Linked DNA regions of Macaca mulatta. The protein of the gene in region 7 purifies or fractionates together with the protein of the main gene of each other region. This does not show direct contact. Links are inferred from orthologs where the notes say so. Each region holds a gene or a part of one and is shown on either strand. Other genes may lie near its edges.

Region 1 (3,500 bases), on a different chromosome or scaffold from region 7:
AAGGGGCTCCGGTGGATGGCACGTCAATTACAGAAGGTGTATTAGTGTAGTTTTGTAAATAGGATCCATCTCCAGGACTTGGGGTTTCTAATGGCAAAATCCCAAAACTGAGAAGAGGTTGAAATCAAGGTGTCAAAAAGTCATCAAGGCATATATAAAGCAGCAGTATACTTAAATTAGAAGGTCTAAAAGGAAGAGAATGGCAAATCAGTCTTAGGGACAGTGAGGATCTGAGGGGCAGATTAAAAATAAGCTGTGAATATAGACTATTCCACCCACCATAACTAAAACTAAAAAAAGCTATCAAACAAGGAACTACAGTGAGCAACAATTACTGATCTCAGGAGATTTATTAGAAATAAAGAAGAGTAGCTTTATAAATCTAAGATCCAAATGATCAGATTACTTCAAATTCTTGGAATTTATGGGATTTAGACACAACTAGAGAAAATGTCTCTAGAGACCATTAGATAACTATAACTCTCCAGAGTGGTAATCTCATGGTCACACTATTTTAGTAGTTCCCTGGCCTCAGGACCCGATTCATAGAATTTCTTCTAGTGTATATATATATATATATATTTTTTTTTTTTTTTTTTTGAGACAGAGTCTTGCTCTGTTGCCCAGGCTGGAGTGCAGTGGCATGATCTCAGCTCACTGTAACCTCCATCTGCTGGGTTCAAACGATTCTTGTGCCTCAGCCTCCCAACTACCTGGGATTACACGTATCTGTCACCATACCTGGCTAATTTTTGTAATTTTAGTAGAGATAGGGTTTTACCATGTGGGCCAGACTGGTCTTGAGCTCCTGGTCTCAAGTGATCTGCTCACCTCAGCCTCCCAAAGTGCTGGGATTACAGGCATGAGCCACCAAGCCCAACCCGTTCTAGCACATCATTTTTCATTTTGATACTTTTGGATATGTATCCTCTGGGCTGAGTTCCTGTATTTATACATACATATACTACTATTAATTTTGATAAAATATTTTTTTTTTTTTTTTGAGGCGGAGTCTCCCTGTGTCTCCCAGGCTGGAGTGCAGTGGCGTGATCTCGGCTCACTGCAAGCTCCGCCTCCCGGGTTCACGCCATTCTCCCGCCTCAGCCTCCCAAGTAGCTGAGACTACAGGCGCCCGCCACCACGCCCGGCTAGTTTTTTGTATTTTTAGTAGAGACGGGGTTTCACCATGTTAGCCAGGATAGTCTCGATCTCCTGACCTCGTGATCCACCCGCCTCGGCCTCCCAAAGTGCTGGGATTACAGGCTTGAGCCACCGCGCCCGGCCGATAAAATATTTTATATTAATAGGTGTGACAGCTAGGTTCAGTGGCTCATTGTAATCCTAGCACTTTGGGAGGCCATGGCAGGAGGATCACTAGAGGTCAGGAGTTCCAGATCAGCTTGAGCAACACAGCAAGACCCCATCTCTACAAAAAAACTTAAAAAATTAGCCAGGTGTGTTGGCATGTGCCTGCAGTCCTAGCTACTCAGGAGTCTGAGGCGGGAGGATCGCTTGAGCCCAGGAATTTGAGGCTGCAGTGAGCTATGATTGTGCCATTGCACTCTAACCTGGGTGACAGAGTGAGATGCTGTCTCAAACAAAAAACGGTAGGTGTCAAATTTCCATCATGTTTTGGAAAAGAACATTTTAATAGCAACCAATGGTGCTCTGATTGTAACATTTCATGAGGCTCACTGCTATCCAATAATGCACAGCCATAGATAGTATTTCTTAATGTGTTTACTACCTAATTTAAGAGTTTTACATTTTTCTCCAATTTTTTTTTTGAGACGGAGCCTTGTCCTGTCTCCTAGGCTGGAGTGCAGTGGCGCCATCTCAGCTCACTGCAACCTCTGCCTCCTGGGTTCAAGTGATTCTCTTGCCTCAGCCTCCCGAGTAGCTGGATCTATAGAAGCATGCCACCATGCCCAACTAATTTTTTGTATTTTTAGTAGAGATGGGGTTTCGCCATGTTGGCCAGGATGGTCTTGATCTCCTGACCTCGTGATCCGCCCACCTCGGTCTCCCAAAGTGCTGGGATTACAGGTGTGAGCCACCGCGCCCGGCCAATCCAATACTTAGTATCAATTTTTTTTGAGTCAGAGTCTTGCTCTGTTACCCAGGCTGGAGTGTAGTGGCTCCATCTCGGCTCACTGCAACCTCCGCCTCCTGGGTTCAAGCAATTCTCCTGTCTCAGCCTCCCGAGTAGCTGGGATTACAGGCGCCCACCACCACGCCCAGCTAATTTTTATATTTTTAGTAGAGACAGGGTTTCACCATGTTGGCCAGGCTGGTCTCGAACTCCTGACCTCAGGTGATCTGCCTGCCTTGGCCTCCCAAAGTGCTGGGATTACAGGCGTGAGCCACCGCGCCTGTCAACATCATCATGTGCTGTTTTTTACTTCATTTTCTGAAAACAGAATGCCCCTGTTCCCATACTGATTTAGAAGTTGCCATTGTAATAATCTGCATTACAAACAATATGAGTTATTATAAGATCATTTAGTACTATAGCACATTTGAAAGTATCTTGTTTGACTTACCTTGGGGTTAATGGGCTAAGAGCTGCTGGTCCTCCTAATAAACTTCGACCAGTTTTTGGTTTATTTTGAACCTGTTTAGATAATATGGAAGTTCCTGTTCCCAGTGGGACAGTATCAGGTGAAATTACAGCTGAATCAATATAAGACACTGAGGAATCTGTATTCAAGGAGTACTTTGAATTGGAAGATTCTAAATTCAATCTGTTTAATTCCTGAAACAGAAAATTTCTACCAAGTCATTCACAATATATTATTTAGTTCAGATCATTCTTTGTAGTTTCATAATATTTTGAACACTAGAATATAAGACACTTACAATTGTGTCCTGGGGTGTTTCCGTAAGAACTGTCTCAGGCTGTCTGTGAGATAAACTATGATTAGGTACTTGTGTTGTGCAAGAGTTGGGCAGACAGTTGCTAAAGTTCTGTAAAGATGTGAATTTAAATGTTTGGTCAGGATCTGGCTTTTCACCTGTGAAGACAAAAAAAAAAAAAAAGTTTGTCTCCGAGGAAGTGAGGATTACATTTTTTTCAAGTATGCATAAGTTAGTGGAAACAGGAAATAGGCCTTATCCAAAATTTTAAATTCTCCTGTCCACTTCTGCTAATCAAATTTACCCCCTAAAAGCCCATCTATCAATGTATCATAAAAGTGTACCAGTAAGACAAAGCTGTAAATTTAGAAAATAAACTACAAGAACACTAATTTTAAATATAACAAATCACAGAAAAATGCAGATTTCTGTGTTTGCTTTAAAGCTGAAAATAACTAGGTCTCATTTTTCTCAAAGTAGGAGATGAGGTTGAAGAGTTAAAACCCATCATACTTTACATCATACTTTACAGTAAAGGTTGAAGCCCTTCTATATATACATAGATGCAACAATGCTGAAAAATGGTCCTTTATGTATCCTAGGCCAAATGTACTGAGATATTCTCTCCCTATACTGTTCAGAAA
Region 2 (2,589 bases), on a different chromosome or scaffold from region 7:
TCACAGCAGACTTTCCCGATTTTAAAAATAATCCTATTTTAAATTCTTTCTCAGTATTTGTCACCATTTCACTGTCATTCCTTTGTTGACCCTTTTGGAAGTCATCCTTGCTCCTTTCCCTCCTTCCCTTCTCCCCTCCTCTGCCATGACTGACCCATTGCTGAAGCCTTCAATCCTCATCATAGATATTTCTTGAATTTGTCCACATTTTACTACTTCTGCCTAGAACAGAATGATTATTTTGTGCCTGGACCACTGTTATAGCCTCCTAAATAGCCTCCTTGCTTTTTCTCATCTCCATTCTAATCATCTCAAGTTAACTGACAGAACAGTCTTTTAAAGAATGAACTGATCTAACACTCCTGCTTAAAGCTTTTCAAAGACTCCTGATTCAGCTATGAAAGAAATCCCTACTGTGTGGCACCAGGACCTGTGTGACCTGCAAGGCACCTGTTTTCCTCAACAAAGCCTCTTTTACACCACTTGCTCCTCACACCACGCTGGCCTCTTCTACCTCCTCAAAAACACTGAGCTCCTTTTCACTGTGGGGCCATTGAATATGCTGTTTTCCCTCCCTAGAAGCTTTTCCTCTCATTCTTCACCTGTCCAACTCATATTTATCCTTGCAGCCTCAGTTTTAATGACCTTGCCTCCCAGGCCTTCCAAGACCACTGTACCTCAGGCAGCTTTCCTGCCATCTATTGCCTGCCCGCTCATGCTCTCAACTTTTTTTCTGCATCTAAATGCCTTTGTTTGCAAGTAACAGAAGACCTGACGTAAGCTGTCCTTAAACAGTGAGGACACAAATCTGCTTATGTTATTAGAAGTCCACAGGTAGGGCATGTAAAGGGTCATCTTATTCCATTGTCTTCAACTCCGTTTCTCTGAGGTTCCATCAGCTACATTCTGTGCCATGACTTTATCCTCAGTGCTTTTTTTGGATGGTAATAAAATGGCTATAACATGTTCACCTCTAGCTCAGCATGATGCCCAGAGGAAGAAGAAGAGTTGCTTCTAGGAGCTTTGTGATGAGAATGAGGGGATTTCTTTCCCTGGAGCCTCCAGCAAGCATGTCATTAAGTACCTCCTCAGGTTTCTGGCTCTGAGTTGCATCTCATGCACACCCTCAATCTGTCCCTGTGGCAGAGACTGTCTCTTATTGAAAAAATGGCCTGGGTCTGCCTGTCTCTGAACTAACACTGTATCAGGGGAATGGGATTGCCTTGATCACCCAAGACCGGTGATTCTCAAAGTGTGGTTCGTGGAGCAGCATGACCTGGGAACTTGTTAGAAATGGAGTTTTTCTGGCCCTACCGCAGACCTACTGAATCAGAAACTCTGTGCTCTGTGCTCTCTGCTCTGTGTGGGGAGTGGGGCCCACTCATCTGTGATTTAACAAGCCCTCCAGGGGATTGTGATACATGGGAAAGCTTGAGAACCGCTGGCCAAGACTAATAAGGATCTAGTTCTGGAGCTGAAGTCTGTCCCATCAAATATTCTAATACATGGTGGAGGGTGGGGTGTGAAGGGGTATTTTGGGGAGACAACCACAGTGACCACTGCACCTTTATAGCACTCTCACAGTTCATAATTATGCATTTGTTTGTGTCATTATTTGTGTAATATCTGTCTTCCCCAACAACACTCTAAACTCTACAATGACAGGGACTCAGTCTAGCTTGTCACCGTAGCCTCAGTACTCAGTACCAGCTGTAGAACCTGCTTATAAGTTCTTGATGAAAAAGTAATAGAAAGAAGATATTTCTTGTGCCTCTCAGTTCTGTCATCAGTTGGTTCAGTTCTATTTGTTTCTCTCACAGCCGGGGGTGATATGTGTGTGCACGCCTACCTCAGCGGGCAGCCCTTGGAGGAATCGCAGCTGAGCATGCTGGCCTGCTTCCTCGTCTACCACTCTGTGCCAGCTCCACGGCACCTGCCGCCTATAGGACTAGAAGGTAATTGCATATCTGAGTCCTCTCTTCGGTACCTCTGTTACCTACCCCTTTATGTTCTAGTTTCTTGGTAGGAAGAGTTTCTAATTAGTTATTGTCCCTAGTTTGACTTTCCTCTTCATTAATGTTGCAGTATCATTGCTAGGAACTGTTTTGGAGCAAAAAAGAAAAAAATTATCAACTTTTTACATGAATAACTTTCATTTTTATTCAGAAAAGGATGGATTCTTCTTCACAGAGCCCCAAACACTGGTCTAAAAATTTTTTTTAGTATATACTAAAATATATACAAAAAACATTTTTTTTGAGAAAGGCAGAGATTGTTCCATTTAATCATTTAAACTTGAAGTTTAATTACATTACTAGTTTTTTTGCTGTTTTGAAAGCCTCTGATAAAAGTTTACTATCTAGGGACTTCTAGTTATGGCCATGATGGAATTGCTTGTATTGGACTCACTTGCCCTCCAAAACAAGTATAAAAGCTAAAAAACCAAAAAACAAAAAACAAAAAACAAAAACATAAGAAAAGGGAAGTACAACAGGGAGAGCTTTCTGTTCACTCTAGCTTCTCCCCCAAAGGCATTTGCCAGTTCATAGCACAAGAAGTAGAGTCCCAGCAAAAGGCAGCAGTGCTGCA
Region 3 (3,500 bases), on a different chromosome or scaffold from region 7:
CGTCTCTACTAAAAAGTACAAAAAACTAGCCGGGCAAGGTGGCGGGCGCCTGTAGTCCCAGCTACTTGGGAGGCTGAGGCAGGAGAATGGCGTGAACCCGGGAGGTGGAGCTTGCAGTGAGCTGAGATCTGGCCACTGCACTCCAGCCTGGGCGACAGAGCGAGACTCCGTCTCAAAAAAAAAAAAAAACCAAAGAATAAGCATGTGTAGTATTCTCCAGTTATCATTTTCAACAGCTGAATTTTCAGGGTCCCCCACTCCATGAAGAGGAAGAAAATGAGAATTAGAATCATGGGTAAAATGTTCAGATGGACTCCTTAATGCATGAGAAAACATGGAGGGAGGGAGCAAGGTTAGGAGGGCTGAGGAGAAAAACACACAAACATTCAACTTACTTTGGGAGTTCTTTGTCTTGAAGGGATCCCATCAAGTATAGCAATGGCATCTTTATCTTGTTTTAGCATTGTGTAACATTCAGCCATTTTGTATTTCACTTCAATTTCAGATGGAAGACACTAAAAGACAATGAAAATATCTCTTTGAAACATTATTCCAACAATATGAAAGTACCTCAAAACGTTAAACACAGTTATCATATGACCCAGTAATTCTTTTTTTGAGACAGGGTCTCGCTCTGTTGCCCAGGCTGCAGAGCCCAGTTGCCAGGCTGGAGTCCTGCAATGCAGTGATGCCAACATAATTTACTGCAGTCTTGAACTCCTAGTCTCAAGCAATCCTCCCACCTTGGCCTCCTCAGTAGCTAGGACTACAGGTGTGTGCCACCATGCCCACTTGTGTAAAGACAGGAGTCTCACTATGTTGCCGAGGCTAGTCTCAAACTCCTGACCTCAAGTCCTCCCACGTTAGCCTCTCGAAGTGCTTGGATTACAGGTGTGAGCCACTGTGCCTGGCCTCATCTTTTACAACGAATCAGCTATCATCTAAATCAGCGGTCCCCAACCTTTTTGACACCAGGGACCAGTTTCATGAAAGACAATTTTTCCACAGATGGGGAGTGAGGGGGTGGTTTCAGGATGAAACCATTCCACCTCAGATCATCAGGCATTAGTCAGATTATGATAAGGAACACACAACCTAGATCCTAGCAAGTGTAGTTCACAATAGGGTTTGTGTTCCTGTGAGAATCTAATGCTACAGCTGATCTGACAGGAGGCGGAGCTCAGGTAGTAATATTCACTAGCCCTCCACCCACCTCCTGCTGTGCAGCCTGGTTCCTAACAGACCAGGCACTGGGGCCTGGGGAGCCCTGTTCTAAATTTTTGGAGTCTTTCTCAAAAAAAAAAAAAAAAAATCACAATTCTATCTTCGATTACCTGACTTTGTGGAGTAGATGCAGAATTTCCAGTTGAAGGTCTCACTTTTGAAGTTTTACTTAGCGCTTTCTTCTGCTGTAAAGCCATGGTATACTTACTCACAGCATTCCGATATTCCTTATCATGAAAGAGAGAATCTGCATGATACACCAAAAGCTGGTACTTCTGAGATGGGGAGAATAACTCACTAGAAAACAAAGAAAGTATATCCCCTACATAGGTTATTTTGAAATTTTAGAAGGAACACTGTTAAGTGTCTACATAAGCCTAGCGCAAAGCCTTGTATAATGACAGCTTACAAAAGAGTCAATGTACCCTGAGTGCTAGTCCCTAAAGTAAGAAACATGAAAGTTGAAAGCTGAACTCTATGCTAATATGATAAATATATCTATTGCTCAATATAATCTTCCTTTATTTAACATTAAAGCAATGATACCTATGAATCAAATCCAGTAGGAGATAGAGAAAATGTAATACATCTTTTCCTCCCTTTCAATCCAAGCTCCCCCAACTTTTTTTTTTTTTTGAAATGGATTCTCGCTCTATCATCCAGGCTGGAGTGCAGTGGCGCGATCTCAGCTCACTGCAACCTCCACCTCCCAGGTTCAAGCGATTCTCCTTCCTCAGCCTCCAGAGTAGCTGAGATTACAGGCACGTGCCACCACGCCCAGCTAATTTTTGTTTTTTTTTTAAGTAGACACAGGGTTTCGCTATGTTGGCCAGGCTGGTCTCAAATTCCTGACCTCAAGTAATCTACCTGCGTCGGTCTTCCAAAGTGCTGGGATTCCAGTTACAGTGAGCTGAGATTGCACCATCGCACTCGCACTCCAGCCTGGCGACCGAGTGAGACCCCATCTCAAAACAAAACAAAACAAAACAAAACAAAACAAAAACAAAAAAACTAAAGAAAATGCCACTATAAAAGGAGAAAGGGGGGCTGGGCGTAGTGGCTCACGCCTGTAATCCCAGCACTTTGGGAGGCCAAGGCAGGCGGATCACCTGAGGTCAGGAGTTCAAGACTAGCCTAACCAACATGGTGAAACCGTCTCCACTAAAAATACAAAATTAGCTGGGCATGGTGGCGCATGCCTGTAATCCCAGCTACTCGGGAGGTTGAGATAGGAGAATCGCTTGAACCCGGGAGGCGGAGGTTGCTATGAGCCGAGATTGCGCCACTGCACTCCAGCCTGGGCGACAAGAGTGAAACTCTGTCTTTAGAAAAAAAAAAAAAAAGGCCGCGCGCAGTGGCTTACGCCTGTAATCCCAGGCCACAGGGTTTCCTTTCGTTGAGGTAATGAAAACTTTCTGGAATTAGATCATGGTGATGACCATACAATTTTGTAAATACTCTAAAACCCACAGAATTGCATTATTGTGGCCATGCACTATGGCTTACGCCTATAATCCTAGCTACTTAGATGCTGAGGCCGGAGAATCACTTGAACCTGGGAGGCAGAGCTTGCAGTTAGCCAAGATCCCGCCACTGCACTCCAGCCTGGGTGACAGAGAGAGGCTCTGTCTCATAAATAAACAAACAAACAAACAAAAAACGGCCGGGAGCGGTGGCTCATGCCTGTAATCCCAGCACTTTGGGAGGCTAAGGTGGGAGGATCACCGAGGTCAGGAGTTTGACCAGCCTGGCCAGCATGTTGAAACCCTGTCTCTACTAAAAATACGAAAATCAGCCAGGCGTGGTGGTGGGCACCTGTAAACCCAGCTACTTGGAAGGCTGAGGGAAAACTGCTTGAACCCAGGAGGCGGAAGCTGCAGTGAGCCGAGATCACGCCACCGCACTCCAGCCTTGGTGACAGAGCGAGACTCAGTCTCCCCCCCAAAAAAAACAACACAACAAAAAAGTATAGTCTAGATGACTTAAGTTCTCTTCAAACTCTGTGATTCTATGTATGTAGTGAGAAATAACCATCTGATGCCTGGATACAAAAGTATTATTACACCCACAGAAGGCATTCTGATACTCATATAACATACATGTCTACTTACACATGCATAAGTTACCTCTGTAATGACACAGGAAAAAATAGTTACTGCCTCTGGAGAAAGGAAATGGTGGGGTGAGGTTCAAGACTCAGGGAAAGATACTGATCTGCATGCCCCTTCTCCACTGTTTGAATTTAACAGTGTCTACTGCCTATTCCACAAGAAATT
Region 4 (3,500 bases), on a different chromosome or scaffold from region 7:
TCCAATCACAAATTGAAGCTCTTTTACATCTCACACTAGAAAAACATTAAATCATAATCAAGTGTATCATACTAATCTTTCTGTTAAAGAAACAAACAAACAAACAAACTTGACTAATTCCACAAATAGCTCCCAATCTTTATAGACATATCACAATTATTTTATCTTAGTAAGAAAATCATTCTCTGAACATTTAATTCTAAAAACCGAGACTGAAAAAAAAACCTGGTGTTTTATTCTTTTTCCATAAGTACTTAGTATATTCTAAGAGAAACAATTTAGAAAGAGAAAATTTTAAAGAAATCTTACCCCCGTGACTCGAGCAATTTTAAACATTCCATAAGCATAAAGCTCAATAAATCCAGAGCTTCCTCCAAGGACAAGAATATTAAGCCTAATTAAAAATAATGCAACAAGCTGAGAACGAATCAACAACACAGATGATTACATTCTTAAACCAAGATATAAATTATTACTGCTTTCATATAATCTACATGCTAAAGCTCCCCTGCAGAGGGAAGTGAAATATCAAATCCACTAACACTCAATATTCAATCGTATCAGGTTTATTCCTTTTTTCAAAGAACATAAATTTCCTCTAGCCTAAAAAAAATCAGCTTACGGTAAAATAAGAATACGTTATTTTAATAACAACTATATTTATGCACCATCAATAACAAAACAATCCTTTTACCAACTAATACGAAGTGCCATCAGTTTTATCATGGTTATGATGCTAAATATATTAAACGGGCTTAAAAAACATGAATACTTAAATTTTAGAAACTCTAGTACTTATATCCTTTTATTTAACATATGTGCATATTATTATTAAAACTTGATAAAACGAAAGGCCACACAATAAAAACAATAATAGATATTAAAGTCTATATGTCGTTTGAAGGTATTAATGTCAACAATGAGGCCAGGTGTTGTGGCTCATGCCTGTAATCCCAATGCTTTGGGAGGCCAAGGTGGGTGGATCTTCTGAGGTCAGGAGTCTGAGACCAGCCTGGCCAACATGGTGAAACCCCGCCTCTACTAACAATACAAAAATTAGGCCGGGCACAGTGGCTCACGCCTATAATCCCAGCACTTTTGGAGGCCAAGACAGGTGGATCACAAGTTCGAGAGATCAAGACCATCCTGGCCAACATGGTGAAACCCTGTCCCTACTAAAAATATAAAAATTAGAAAGGCCTGGGGGCGGGCGCCTGTAGTCCCAGCTACTCGGGAGGGTGAAGCAGAAGAATCACTTGAACCAGGAAGGCGGAGGTTGCAGTAAGCCGAGATCGCGCCACTGCACTCCAGCCTGGGTGACAGAGACTCCATCTCAAACAAAAACAAAAACAAAAAAACAATGAAATAAAATGGCAAATAAAGGATTTGCTCTTAAAGCTTCTGAAAACTGCCTCAAATATGAAATAACTTTAAGAAATTAGACTTATTTATCCATAAGACTTACCTGACGTCTCCCAAGAGCTTAATAATTTCATCAGAATTTTCTTCACTAAAATATACAAATAAATTGGGTCATCTTTCAATTCTATCTTTCAAATAACAACAGATTATCTTACTTGAAAACAAGAAAAGGCATATCTTACCTAAATATTTTTGAGGTGTTGCTATAGCTAGAAGGAAACAGAGATTAAGGTAAAAAATACTCTCAGCAAAAATACGTATTTTAAAATGCATGAGAAAATTGTCGGTGTTAAAAGCAGAAGAAAGAGAAATCTGCAAGATTAATTTCAAAGAAACCAGTGATACATACTTTTTTGGCAGTGTAGGTAGTTTAGGTAAGAGGAGATTTGATTCATCCTCAGCGTTATAAAATGATGTGAGAACACTAAAAAGGAAAAAATGAAATTATAAAAACACCAAAGATTTTACTTCTCTTACCATTAAAAATGCTAATTTTTTAAAAAGATACCCAGTTTTACAACATTATCAAGTAAACAGATGCCACAAATACTATACAGTTATAGTCAGTTTAACAGTCCCAAACGAGAAATTGAAAAGTAGGAATTTCTTTGTTATTTTAGGGGAATAAAAAACATCAGCCTGCACACTTTAGAGAAATGATAATAAACATTTTTCTTAGCATATCAAATGCATTCATACATACTCAGATACTGAGAATTTATGATTTCTTAACTCTTATTTAAGAACTCACACTAAACATATGACTACTAAGAGTAATTTTAAAGAACACTGCAATTACCCTATCTTTTATTTATGAGACAGGGTCTCACCCAGGCTGGACTGCAGTGATGTGATCATGGTTCACTGCAGCCTCCACCTCCTGAGCTAAAGCCATCGTCCTGCCCCAGCCTCCTGAGTAGCTGGGACTACAGGTGCAAACCACCACACCCAGCTAATATTTTTTATTTTTTTGTAGACATGGGGGGTCTCACTATGTTGCCCAGACTGGTCTAAAACTCCTGGTCTCAGGCAATCCTCCTGCCTCAGCCTCTCAAAGTGCTAGGATTACAGGCATGAACCACTGTGCATGGCCTACCGTATGATTTAATTATTGAATCTATGACTTATATACACTTGTGGATTTAAGACTCCAACAGGTGTATGAGATTACACCATGCCTTTTGAAATAGTCTCATTTTCCCCCTTTTCCTTCCCAATTCTAACTCCAAATAAGGTTGGAAATAAATGAGTGAGCAAGTAAAAAAGTGGTGATTTAGCAAGTATTTTTTCCTACTTTAACAAAAAGGAGCTGTCTTGAGAGACCCTGGAATCTCCATATAACTTTTCTAAACTGTCAGTAGGAAGTATGTTGGGAATACACATAGCAGATAACTGGGCTGGAATAGGACTTCCATGGTATGCTCTGACCCTCTAACCTTCTACAGAGTCACATAACCATTTGTAATCCTTCATGATCTGATGATGGATTTGTCACTCTGGTTTATCCGCAGTGAATTTCAAACCCCAGGTCAAACCCTTGTTATCCAATTCTTTCAGGCTTCCCTTAGGAAAGCTGGCAATTAATATTCAGGATTTACAAATTCATTTGATACTAACTTAGTATAACTTAATTAGAAAGGAAAAGTTAATACAAAGAAAATTACCATATTGCCCCAAACAAGAAAAACAATTTTTGTTTTCAGCATTAGCCAAAAGCACTAATTCCTCCGGCCTTCTTCACTGTAACCCTGGTGTATTACTTGACTACACAGACTAAGGCAGAATTATTTTTATGAAACAAGGAAACTATCAGGACCATGGACAAAGAAAAAAACCTGTCCAGCATTAGAACAGAAGGCTCAACTTAGCACTTTCCATATTCTAAGAATATGGAGACAAAAAAAAAGTTTACCGAGACAAAAAAAAAGTTCAGATGATATAAATCATGAAATGGAAATTAATATATGTATTAATTAACATAACTTTAAAATTACTGATTGGCAAACTGAGGTTGTTTTCCATTTCACCATTTTATGGAGCTTTGTTTTTTGTCTCAGTAACTATTTTTGGAGTAGGAA
Region 5 (2,969 bases), on a different chromosome or scaffold from region 7:
GCTTAGGCCAAGAACTAGCCCACTGGCATGACAGCTTCATTCTGTTGGCCAAAATAACTCCCAGGGCCAATCCAAATCCAAGATTGGGGAAATCAGTTTCACCTTTTGATAAGAGTAGCTGCAAAGAACTAAGGGCATTTTACAGTACACCATAATGGATGGCTGGGTTTATGACACTTTTGTTTTTGTTTTCCAGGCATATATGCGATTTGATGTGTTGGCATGTATTGAACGGGACGATAGATACCAAACAAAAGACACATTATTTTAGAAAGCATACCACAGATAGGATGAAATTAAGCAAAGTTGTCTGCTTCTGAATTAAATAATTCATTAACTAAGGATACTATTTATTCTTTGTCATCTATAAGTAATTATTAGGACTGATTGCTTTACAATAAATGATAGCTCTTTTCAATCTGTTCAAGTATGTTTGAATCTGTCTTGTAGAACAAGATGTATGTGATTCAAATATAGATAAGTAAATATCATTTAATATATATTGAGCATAATTTTAGAGGGGAAAACATATTCACATACTACAAATTAGAATCCAGTGGAAAATTTTAAGTCTGGATATTGCATAACAGTTTGCTAAGCGTAAAACAAAACATAAATTAAGATAATCGAAAAGAAATATGTTGGTATCTGTGAACTCTGGTACAAAGCAGAGTTTCAGTAGTAATACATTTAAATTTGAAATACAAGTAAATGATCCCAGATCCTATACTAAGTGTGGCCCATGACTTACCGTTTTATGAAAATTGCTGGTAGGGTGTGAATTGGTCATTTGTTGGGGTTTTTGTTGCCCTGCTCCACCACTAGGGGGAGGTATCATCTACTAGTTACATTTTCAGTGTTTCCTGCCCTACCTCCATTTTTATTATAATATAGACATGTTGGGCCAGGCGCAGTGGCTTGCGCCTGTAATCCCAGCACTTTGGGAGGCCGAGGCGGGTGGATCACCTGAAGTCAAGAGTTCGAGAGCAGCCTGACCAACATGGAGAAACCCCATCTCTACTAAAAAAAAAAAAAAAAATAACAAAATTAGCTGGGAGTGGTGGTGCATGCCTGTAATCCCAGCTACTTGGGAGGCTGAGGCAGGAGAATCACGTGAACCCAGGAGACAGAGGTTGTGGTGAGCCGAGATCACGCCATTGCACTCCAGCCTGGGCAACAAAAGCGAAACTCCATCTCAAAAAAAAAAAAAAAAAAAAAAAAGACATGTTTGGTCCAAGGTCATTTTTTGGATACATTTCTTGTGTCTAAGGAATATGCCAGCAAACTAGTATTCTTTTAAAGCACGCTCCCCCAAAAGAAGATTTAGGATTGGCTCATCTCAGTGTTCCTAACCGCTAATAATAATAGCAAATATTCCTTGAGCACCAGATACCCCACACAGTGCTCAGCACTTGATCTAACCTCACCTGATCCTTACAGTAGTCTTGTGAGGTGATGGCTCTTTTTTTCTCCCATTTGCCAAGGAGGAAACAAAGGCCCCAAGGGTTTGCATACCTTGCCCAAGTAACCCAGCAAATGGGAGAGTTGTGGTCTTGGATCCTAGTTGGCTTCCAAAAGCCTCTGCCCTTAACCCTTCTGCCACGGTGCCTCCTTCACAAATGTCAGAGTCAAAATGCCCATCACTCCCTATTGAAGAAGGCCCAGGCCATGTTTGAGTGATACTTCTGATCGTTTCCTCACGTGTATGATTTTAGCTTTTTTAGAATACACATATCAGTTATGTTGCCTGTTCCTAGGAACTCACAAGCTTTAATTCTAAGTGTTCTTGAGTTCCAAGAAAATACAGAATATATTACTGTTCTGAATTTCTATTGTACCTTTTCAGAATGAGCTTCCTGAACCTGAACAAGACAATGGTGGCACCACAGAATCTGTCAAAGAACAAGAAATGAAGTGGACAGACTTAGCCTTACAGTACCTCCATGAGAATGTTCCCCCCATTGGAAACTGACACTTGGCTCCTTTCTTGTATATGGATTTTCTAAAAGCACACAGATAAAGCATGTTTTGTTTCAGTCTCCTAAATCAAATCTTTGAGTAATAAATCAGCACTCAAAAATGTATACCCGTTTAGTTTGTGGTAGCAAAGTGCGATGTGAAAATGTTCACCAGAATGAGAAACTGAGATTTCTCAGTAATGGTGAATATTTGGCTCTTTAAACCTAAAACTCTTCATTGAGTAGCTTGTATTTGAACAAGACTGGTTAAACATTTGCCTTTACTTCTGATTTTGCTTTACTGTCAAAGTTTAACACCTTCCAACTACTCATGTGTGTCCTGTAACACAGGGGATTGAACGTATGAGAGGGAAAGGCAAAGGAAAAAGGAAGCCAGATACTGGGAGAATTACTAACTTCTCATACTTCCCCACATTGAGAAGCATTCGGAGTGTATTTAGCCTGTAGGTGTTGTGATATGCAAATATTCCATTCCCTGGTTACTGGCATTCCTAAGATTCTTCATGGTATTTTCAAACTTTGGATAAATTTACAGATTAGAAAGATACCTGACAGTTACCTCTGTTCTCCCTACAACTTCCTTTTGTGCTGCTGGAAAGGATCTTTGGCTAGGTGGACCATTAGTTTTATTCAGTAGTGGCATTTCCTATTTTCTCAAAGCCCTTTCAGTTATAACCACCCCACTATGGAATCAGTATTTAGTTACACATTTGTATAAGAACCTGTATTTTGAAAAACACATTTGTGTATATTTCCTGGAATTATTTGCCTGTTAAACAGTGTCTTTCGTGTGCTCTCCCCAGATTGTAAACGCTGTAAGAAGCAGCCCTGGCTGCCTGTATCTGTATCCCTTGTTGAAACTCTGAAAACACTGAATAACTAAAATCTCTTCTCATCCTTTTTATGCTGGGTCTTTTTGTTTACTTAGCTTTTAGGAGGAAGAGGTACGTGAAAAAACAAATTAGCTTATTTTAGATTTTCAATCACAAA
Region 6 (4,012 bases), on a different chromosome or scaffold from region 7:
GCCCTCCAGGATGTCACAGTCTAATAGGTAAACAGCCAAAGAGACGATTATAGGGTGATCCGGGCTATGACCTATGACAGAGGGAAGTCAACACTGCCAAAGAGACGAGGTAAGGAGTTGGGGTGTGGTGGTACAACAGGAAGCTACAACTGGAAAGATGTAAGAGCAGACAAGGGGGAGCAAAGGGTATTTCAACAAATTTATTATTCTAGAGAATAGACAGAAAAATAAATTGACTGGTAAAGAAATAACCACCAAAAATCTATAGCCTAACTGATCCCATGAGATTAAAAGTAACATGAGAAGGTTTTATGCTATCTTATCAAAAGGTCTGGGTTTTGTGGCTTCATTTTGTTTTCAGATAAAAGGTTTGGTTCTTAAGTCACATGTGACTGCAGAATCCACAAAGTATGTCTCAGTTTGATCATTTTCAAAAAGAAACACTTATCCCGTAACTGCCACTACCTGACTGTAAGGACAACAGATGATAACTTTCTCTAAGAGAGTGAAATGATGTTTTATCCAAAATTCCTTAATAATAATAGAATGGCTCAGCTACTCAAATCACTGGAATTACCACCATTCTTCACCACTTGCTGCTGGACTGTGGGCATTTAAATGCCAAGCATCGGGCTGACCGCAGTGGCTCATGCCTGTAAATCCCACTGCTTTGGGAGGACTGCTTGAGCCCAGGAGTTTGACACTAGCCTGGGCAACATAGTGAGACTCCATCTGTCCCCACAAATTTTTTTTTTTTCTTCAGACCAAGTCTCGGTCTGTCACCAGGCTGGAGTGCAGTGGCGCCATCTCGGCTCACTGCAACCTCCACCTCCCAGGTTCAAGCGATTCTCCTGCCCTCGGCTTCCCAAGTAGTTGGGACTACAGGTGCATGCCACCACACCCAGCTAATGTTTGTATTTTTAGTAGAGATGGGGTTTCAACATGTTAGCTAGGATGGTCTCTTGACCTCGTGATCCGCCTGCCTCGGCCTCCCAAAGTGCTGGGATTACAGGCGTGAGCCACCACACCCGGCCCACAAAAAATTTAAAAATTAGCCAGGCATAGTGGCACATGCCTGTATTCCCAGTTATTCAGGGGGCCGGACGTGGTAGGATCACTGGAGCCTGGCAGGTAGAGGCTGCAGTGAGTGGTGATCATGCCACTGTACACCAGCAGGGCGACAGAGCAAGACCCTGTCTCAAAAATAAAAATAAAAAATAAAATAAATGCCAACACTCACAAAGTATTACAGTGAATAAAATAAGGTATTGCCTTTTATGTGGCAAATGACCTTCCTGATTACTAGTAAGTGATGTTAGAAAGTTCTACCTAAATATCTTTGTGAAAACAAGTTCTAAAAGGCAAACAACTCTATCATTCTGAGAATATCCAAGTGGAATGAAATCACTTAAAAGGGTTCCCACTTTGAGCAACTGCTGTTTCAGAAGCTAGAGTCACAGTAGATAATCAAACTCATGTTGGTAATAAATGAAACAGGCCAGTTTTCTACTGGTTTCACTTTAGGGCATGACTGTCCCTGCTTCCTAAGTTACTCTAAAACAGGGCAAAACCCACTAGATAACTGCCTTTGGTGAAAAGACTAACTCAATAGTGAGCTGACTCTGTAGAGTCAAAGTTCGGCATGCTAGCATTTTATGAGATTTGTAACAACTGAAGTTTAAGCCATACTTTAAAGCTCATCCTTAATAATATATGAGTTTTTTAAAAGCAGAAATTATGATGCTTCGAGAACACTAAAGTGTCTTGGGATGAAGCAGGGGGAAGAAATCTAAGTTATTAGTCTTAATATGAAGCATATACAATCCATAATAAAGCTGTTGGTAAATACATGCAAAATGTACTGTCCTCTGCCATATAGTACAAGATATCTGCTAGGACAGCAAATGAAAATAGACTTGTATTGAGCCCTCCTTTGGGCCTGGTATTGCAGGGAACAGATGCAGACAGAAATATACTAATCCCTGACTTCAAGGAGCTTATGGCCCAGTGAGGGAAAACAAAAGCAAACAGACAATTACAACAGAGACTAACAGTGCTTATGAGAGAGGTTAGCACAGGAGGATGAGGTTGAGCCTAACCCAGCTGGGGGCTGGAAGAAGTAAGAGTTAGCCTGGCAAAGAAAAATAAAGGACTTTTCTGGCAAAGGGAACACTTGTGTATAGGCATTGAGATTAAAGATAACCCAGCAGTGAAAGTGGAGAGATAAGCAAGGACCAGCTCACAAAGGACCTCATATGCCATGCTAGGGAATTTGGAATTTATTCTGTAGACCACTGAATAATTTAAGTCTTATTAATGGACATCTAATACCATGTAGCAAGGCCACACTTAAAAATACATATGGGGCTCCTACCATGAGCTAGATGGTAGGAAATGGTGATGCAAACAGACATGATTTCTGCAATCAATCACTGGCTGGGTGCAGTGGGTCACATGTGTAATCCCAGCACTTTGGGAGGCTGAGGCGGATGGATCACTTGAGGTCAGGAGTTGGAGACCAGCCTGGCCCCAACATGGCAAAATCCCGTCTCTACTAAAAACACAAAAATGACCCGGGCATGCTGGCATGTACCTATAGTCCCAGCTACTTGGGAGGCTGAGGCAGAGGTTGCAGTGAGCCAAGGATCATGCCACTATACTCCAGCCTGTGTGACACAGCGAGACTCCATCTCAAAAAAACACAAAGTTGTATTCATACCTCCAGGTCCTTTCGAATGCTCTCAAACTCTTCAATGTCATCAAGCTTTAGCTCTAGGCGTGTTGGTTTTCGTCTCAGCATACTGAAGTCAACACTAAGGGCCAAACCCAGTGAACTATTAGCTGATAAAAATGAAAGAGAGGAGGAAAAACTGAAGGTAATAAAGTCTCAGATACAAAACATAAAATCAGTTTGCAAGCCTGTGTACTAAAGTGAATGGAAGTATTAAAACTTTATTTGAATTCACACAGACTTCTAAAGTCTTTTTAAGAGATGGGATCTTGCTCTTTGCCCAGGCTGGAGCACAGTAGCATGACCTTAGCTCACTACAGCCTCAACTTCCTGGGCTCAAGCAATCTTACTGCCTCAGCCTCTAGAGTAGCTGGGACTACAGGTGTACACCACCATATCTGGCTAATTTTTGTGTTTTTTGTAGAAATGGGATCTCTCTCTGATGCCCAGGCTGGTCTCAAACTCTTGGGCTCAAGTGTTCCTCCCTCCTCATTTTCCCAAAGTACTGGCATTATAGGCAAGAGCTACTATACCCAGCCAACTTCTAAAGTCTTTAGGTATATGATTATTACATTTTTATTACATTATGGAGATCTACAGCTCTGTAAAATCAAAAACTCTTTCAGTAAGAATTTAAAATAGCAAACTATCACTTTAATCTCATGTTCTAGTCACATTCAAAGAAATACTCTAGCTAAAAGAATAAACTATCACATCTCAGTATAGTTAGAGGGGAAAGTGGACAAACCAGTGAATTTAATCTACTCTACGTGAGAACTGTCAGAGATTTGTGATCACTCCTGAATGCTAAAATCAGTTTGCTAAATCTCATGAAGACTCCAACTCACCAATTCACAGGATTATCCTCAGCGTCCAAACAGATCCTAAATGTGTGTACGTCATTCATTAAACAAACACTTCTTGTGCTCCAGCTACAGAATTAAAAGGTACAGTCATAATCTGTGGGGAAAATAAAGAAAACTGTGATATCATATAACGAGAACCCTAATGAGGATACTGGCACTGGCATCACACAGGCACCTAATCCAGTCTGGGCTGAGTGTGGGGTGGACAAGGATGTCAGGCAAGCCTTCCTGGAGAAAATGATATCTTAGTTGACTTCTGAAGGGCAGGCAGAGAGAAGAGTGCACAAGGAGGCTCAAGACCAGCTTTGGCAACATAGCAAGACCCTGTCTCTACAAAAAAGTAAAAAAATTAGCTAGGCTGGTAGTGTGTACCTGTAGTCCTAGCTACTCAGGAGGCTGAGATGGAAGGATCACT
Region 7 (3,500 bases):
CTGTACCCTGATCTTGGCTAGTCAGTTAGCCAATGATGCTGAACAAGATGGTGAATGATTTGATGCAAATCTGGCTCTGGTGCTAGAAAAACCACACAGCATCATGCTGCAGTGGGTCAGGAGTCATGTTCACATAAAAGGGCACTGTATTAGCTTTTATTCCCTCTTAGAACCTTTCTGACAGGGTGAATCTATCTGTAGATTAATCATACTATAAAAAGACACATCAAACCTACTACCATGGGAGGTAGACAGGTGCCAGGATAAAGCAAACTGGAGTAGGAGGTCAAGAGAATTCCTGGACTCAGTGCTGACTCTGGTTTTTTTTTTTTTTTTTTTTTTTTTTTGAGACAGAGTCTCGCTCTGTCACCCAGGCTGGAGTGCAGTGGCTCGGTCTTGACTCACTGCATGCTCTGCCTTCCGGGTTCACGCCATTTTCCTGCCTCAGCCTCCCGAGTAGCTGGGACTACAGGCGCCCGCCACCACGCCCAGCTAATTTTTTTTTCGTATTTTTTAGTAGAGACGGGGTTTCACCATGTTAGCCAGGATGGTCTTGATCTCCTGACCTCGTGATCCGCCCGCCTCGGCCTCCCAAAGTGCTGGGATTACAGGCGTGAGCCACTGTGCCCGGCCAACTCTGTTTTTTTGAGACAGAATCTCATTTTGTTGCCCAGGTTGGAGTGCAGTAGCATGATCTCGGCACATGGCAACTTCTACTGTTCAAGTGATTCTCCTGTCTCAGCCTTTCCAGTAGCTGGGATTACAGGCGCCTACCACCATGCTCGGCTAATTTTTGTATTTTTAGTAGAGATGGGGTTTCACCATGTTGGCCAGGCTGGTCTCGAACTCCTGGCCTCAAGTGATCCGCCTGCCTTGGCCTCCCAAAGTGCTGGAATAACATGGATAAGCCACGGTGCCCAGCCCTACCTCTGCCTTTAACCTGGTCAAATCACTTAACTTTTCTGGATCTAAATAACTTTAGATGACTTCCTTGATTTCCAAAGTCCTTTTCAGCTCCAACATTCTGATTCTGGAGCAAGACTGTTTTTAAATATATTATTTTGAGATGGGGACAAGAGATGAAATGTAGAGCTGAAATCAGGGCAAACTCATCTTTAATCCACTTAATAGCTTCTTCACAATTAATATTCATTGCAGGTCTGAATCCAATTATTCAGAAAGCAGCATGAGATCACCTTCTAACATCTCTCCAGCTCCTTTGGGGTAGGTGAAAAGGGCTTTCCGTGGTGGGGCAAGGTCTGAGACACTGAAACCAGATCCAGTGACAGAACTTCCACTGACCCCACCAGCTGAAGAGGATGATGATGAAGCAGCCATTTCCTCTCTAGCAGAGTTCTTACTTCACTACAGAGAAAGAAAAACAGCAATTGGCAAGTTTATGGAAGTGAGAGTGACAACATTTCATTCGAGCTGCCGTAAGGGTCAGCATGCAGTTTTATAAAGAGTTAGCTCCCCGTTTTTCTATCCTCTCTACTTTCATGATATTTTATTGATGTCTCAGGCCAAAATATCAGTCAGGTTTTGAATTGAAAATAAGCTTAAGAATAGTATATCTACTTAAAACATGAATTCCTACCATTAGCAAACTGTTTATGTCAACTGAGATTGACTGTGGGTGATTCATGAGTTATGAAGGGGTGATATGGCAGTGCCAAGGCAGAAATTTGACTGAGGAAATAAGTTATATGAGGATAAAAGCATCACACTTCACAGGACAGTTTGTCTTGGATACATCCTGATCAAGCCACATAAATAAATTATAATATTTTCCAAATAAAATTCCAGAGTAACACTGTGTTCTGTTCCCAGGGAAGGGGAACTAGTTAGGAAATACCTATTGGCCTTCTCATTAAAAATTAACTTTTGGCCAGGCACGGTGGCTCACGCTTGTAGTCCCAGCACTTTGGGAGGTGGAGGCAGATAGATCACCTGAGGTCAGGAGTTCAAGACCAACCTGGCCAACATGACAAAACTCTGTCTCTACTAAAAATACAAAAAAAATTAGCCAGGCGTGGTGGTGGGCGCCTCTCATCCCAGCTACTCGGGAGGCTGATGCAAGAGAATTGCTTGAACCCGGGAGGCAGAGGTTGCAGTGAGCCTGGGTGACAGAACAGGACTCTCTCTCAAAAAAAATTAACCTTTTCATTCAAATGTAATACCCAAACTTATCACTTGGTGGCGTCCCAAAACCGGAACAAAAAGTTCAGGAAACAATCTTGGAAATCATTGCCTATTATGAACAGAGCACCTGTGAGTGTTTAACCTTATTGCATATCAAAAAATGCAAATGTTATAGAGAAAACTGTCCTGAATACATGACACCTTACTAAAGTTCAAAACAAACACTCTCTTTGCCACAGAAGCTTACACAACTTTAACAAAAATTCTAAAAAGTGTATATGGTATTTTATTTTTTTTTGAGACACAGTCTTGCTCTTGTCACCCATACTAAAGTGGCACGATAGCAGCTCACTGCAACCTCCACCTCCTAGGTTCAAGCGATTCTCCTGTCTCAGCCTCCCAAGTAGCTGGAATTACAGGCATGAGCCACCATGCCCAGCTAATTTTTGTAGTTTTAGCAGACACGGGGCTTCACCACATTGGCCATGCTGGTCTCGAACTCCTAACCTCAGGTGATCTACCTGCCTGGCCTCCCAAAGTGCTGGGATTATGGACATAAGCCACTGCATCTGGCCTCTTTCCATTTTTTTTTTTTTACAACAGAGATGAGGTCTTGCTATGTTGCCCAGTCTGGTGTGTATATATGTATGTACATATGTATTTATTTACGGAGTCTCACCTGTCGGCAGGCTGGAGTGCAATGGCGCGATCTCTGCTCACTGCAACCTCTGCCTCCCAGGTTCAAGCGATTCTCCTGCCTCAGCCTCCTGAGTAGCTGAGACTACAGGCGCCGCCACCAAGCCCAGCTAATTTTTGTATTTTTAGTTGAGACGGGGTTTCACCATGTTGGCTAGGATGGTCTCCATCTCTTGACCTCGTAATCTGCCCGCCTCGGCTTCCCAAAGTGCTGGGATTACAGGCATGAACCATCGTGCCCAGTCAGTCTGGTCTTTAACTCCTGGTCTCAAGTGATCCTCCCACCTTGGCTTCCCAAAGTCTCACTGCGCTCAGCTCTCTAAAAAGTGTACACAGTATTTTTTTTTTTTTTTTTTTTTTTGAGACGGAGTCTCGCTCTGTCGCCCAGGCTGGAGTGCGGTGGCGCGATCTCAGCTCACTGCAAGCTCCGCCTCCCGGGTTTACGCCATTCTCCTGCCTCAGCCTCCAGAGTAGCTGGGACTACAGGCGCCGCCACCTCGCCCGGCTAATTTGTTATATTTTTAGTAGAGACGGGGTTTCACCGTGTTAGCCAGGATGGTCTCAATCTCCTGACCTCGTGATCCACCTGTCTCGGCCTCCCAAAGTGCTGGGATTACAGGCTTGAGCCACCGCGCCCGGCCGGTATACAGTATTTTTTAAAG

What was found.
Region 1: the proteins of ANAPC16 (region 7) and CDC27 purify together in Homo sapiens (affinity purification with mass spectrometry; 10 studies listed by BioGRID and IntAct, with this or other methods). This does not show direct contact. The link is inferred for Macaca mulatta from reciprocal best matches to the Homo sapiens genes ANAPC16 and CDC27.
Region 2: the proteins of ANAPC16 (region 7) and ANAPC1 purify together in Homo sapiens (co-immunoprecipitation; 5 studies listed by BioGRID and IntAct, with this or other methods). This does not show direct contact. The link is inferred for Macaca mulatta from reciprocal best matches to the Homo sapiens genes ANAPC16 and ANAPC1.
Region 3: the proteins of ANAPC16 (region 7) and ANAPC7 purify together in Homo sapiens (affinity purification with mass spectrometry; 6 studies listed by BioGRID and IntAct, with this or other methods). This does not show direct contact. The link is inferred for Macaca mulatta from reciprocal best matches to the Homo sapiens genes ANAPC16 and ANAPC7.
Region 4: the proteins of ANAPC16 (region 7) and ANAPC4 purify together in Homo sapiens (co-immunoprecipitation; 10 studies listed by BioGRID and IntAct, with this or other methods). This does not show direct contact. The link is inferred for Macaca mulatta from reciprocal best matches to the Homo sapiens genes ANAPC16 and ANAPC4.
Region 5: the proteins of ANAPC16 (region 7) and ANAPC13 purify together in Homo sapiens (affinity purification with mass spectrometry; 3 studies listed by BioGRID and IntAct, counting the BioPlex papers as one, with this or other methods). This does not show direct contact. The link is inferred for Macaca mulatta from reciprocal best matches to the Homo sapiens genes ANAPC16 and ANAPC13.
Region 6: the proteins of ANAPC16 (region 7) and CDC26 purify together in Homo sapiens (co-immunoprecipitation; 5 studies listed by BioGRID and IntAct, with this or other methods). This does not show direct contact. The link is inferred for Macaca mulatta from reciprocal best matches to the Homo sapiens genes ANAPC16 and CDC26.

The regions. Positions count from the first base shown.
Region 1 is NC_133421.1:71,440,333-71,443,832, forward strand, and holds part of CDC27 (cell division cycle protein 27 homolog), read right to left. Parts: intron 3,015-3,500; coding exon 2,860-3,014; intron 2,756-2,859; coding exon 2,544-2,755; intron 108-2,543; coding exon 1-107. UniProt on the Homo sapiens protein: Component of the anaphase promoting complex/cyclosome (APC/C), a cell cycle-regulated E3 ubiquitin ligase that controls progression through mitosis and the G1 phase of the cell cycle.
Region 2 is NC_133418.1:21,897,104-21,899,692, reverse strand, and holds part of ANAPC1 (anaphase-promoting complex subunit 1), read left to right. Parts: intron 1-1,820; coding exon 1,821-1,955; intron 1,956-2,589. UniProt on the Homo sapiens protein: Component of the anaphase promoting complex/cyclosome (APC/C), a cell cycle-regulated E3 ubiquitin ligase that controls progression through mitosis and the G1 phase of the cell cycle.
Region 3 is NC_133416.1:117,564,621-117,568,120, forward strand, and holds part of ANAPC7 (anaphase-promoting complex subunit 7), read right to left. Parts: intron 1,522-3,500; coding exon 1,335-1,521; intron 516-1,334; coding exon 396-515; intron 1-395. UniProt on the Homo sapiens protein: Component of the anaphase promoting complex/cyclosome (APC/C), a cell cycle-regulated E3 ubiquitin ligase that controls progression through mitosis and the G1 phase of the cell cycle.
Region 4 is NC_133410.1:24,405,668-24,409,167, reverse strand, and holds part of ANAPC4 (anaphase-promoting complex subunit 4), read right to left. Parts: intron 1,847-3,500; coding exon 1,772-1,846; intron 1,632-1,771; coding exon 1,605-1,631; intron 1,511-1,604; coding exon 1,466-1,510; intron 395-1,465; coding exon 310-394; intron 1-309. UniProt on the Homo sapiens protein: Component of the anaphase promoting complex/cyclosome (APC/C), a cell cycle-regulated E3 ubiquitin ligase that controls progression through mitosis and the G1 phase of the cell cycle.
Region 5 is NC_133407.1:37,520,592-37,523,560, reverse strand, and holds the end of ANAPC13 (anaphase-promoting complex subunit 13), read left to right. Parts: intron 1-1,846; coding exon 1,847-1,972; 3' UTR 1,973-2,469; downstream 2,470-2,969. UniProt on the Homo sapiens protein: Component of the anaphase promoting complex/cyclosome (APC/C), a cell cycle-regulated E3 ubiquitin ligase that controls progression through mitosis and the G1 phase of the cell cycle.
Region 6 is NC_133420.1:45,041,357-45,045,368, reverse strand, and holds the start of CDC26 (anaphase-promoting complex subunit CDC26), read right to left. Parts: upstream 2,801-4,012; coding exon 2,720-2,800; intron 1-2,719. UniProt on the Homo sapiens protein: Component of the anaphase promoting complex/cyclosome (APC/C), a cell cycle-regulated E3 ubiquitin ligase that controls progression through mitosis and the G1 phase of the cell cycle.
Region 7 is NC_133414.1:77,394,571-77,398,070, forward strand, and holds part of ANAPC16 (anaphase-promoting complex subunit 16), read right to left. Parts: intron 1,366-3,500; 5' UTR 1,339-1,365; coding exon 1,197-1,338; intron 1-1,196. UniProt on the Homo sapiens protein: Component of the anaphase promoting complex/cyclosome (APC/C), a cell cycle-regulated E3 ubiquitin ligase that controls progression through mitosis and the G1 phase of the cell cycle.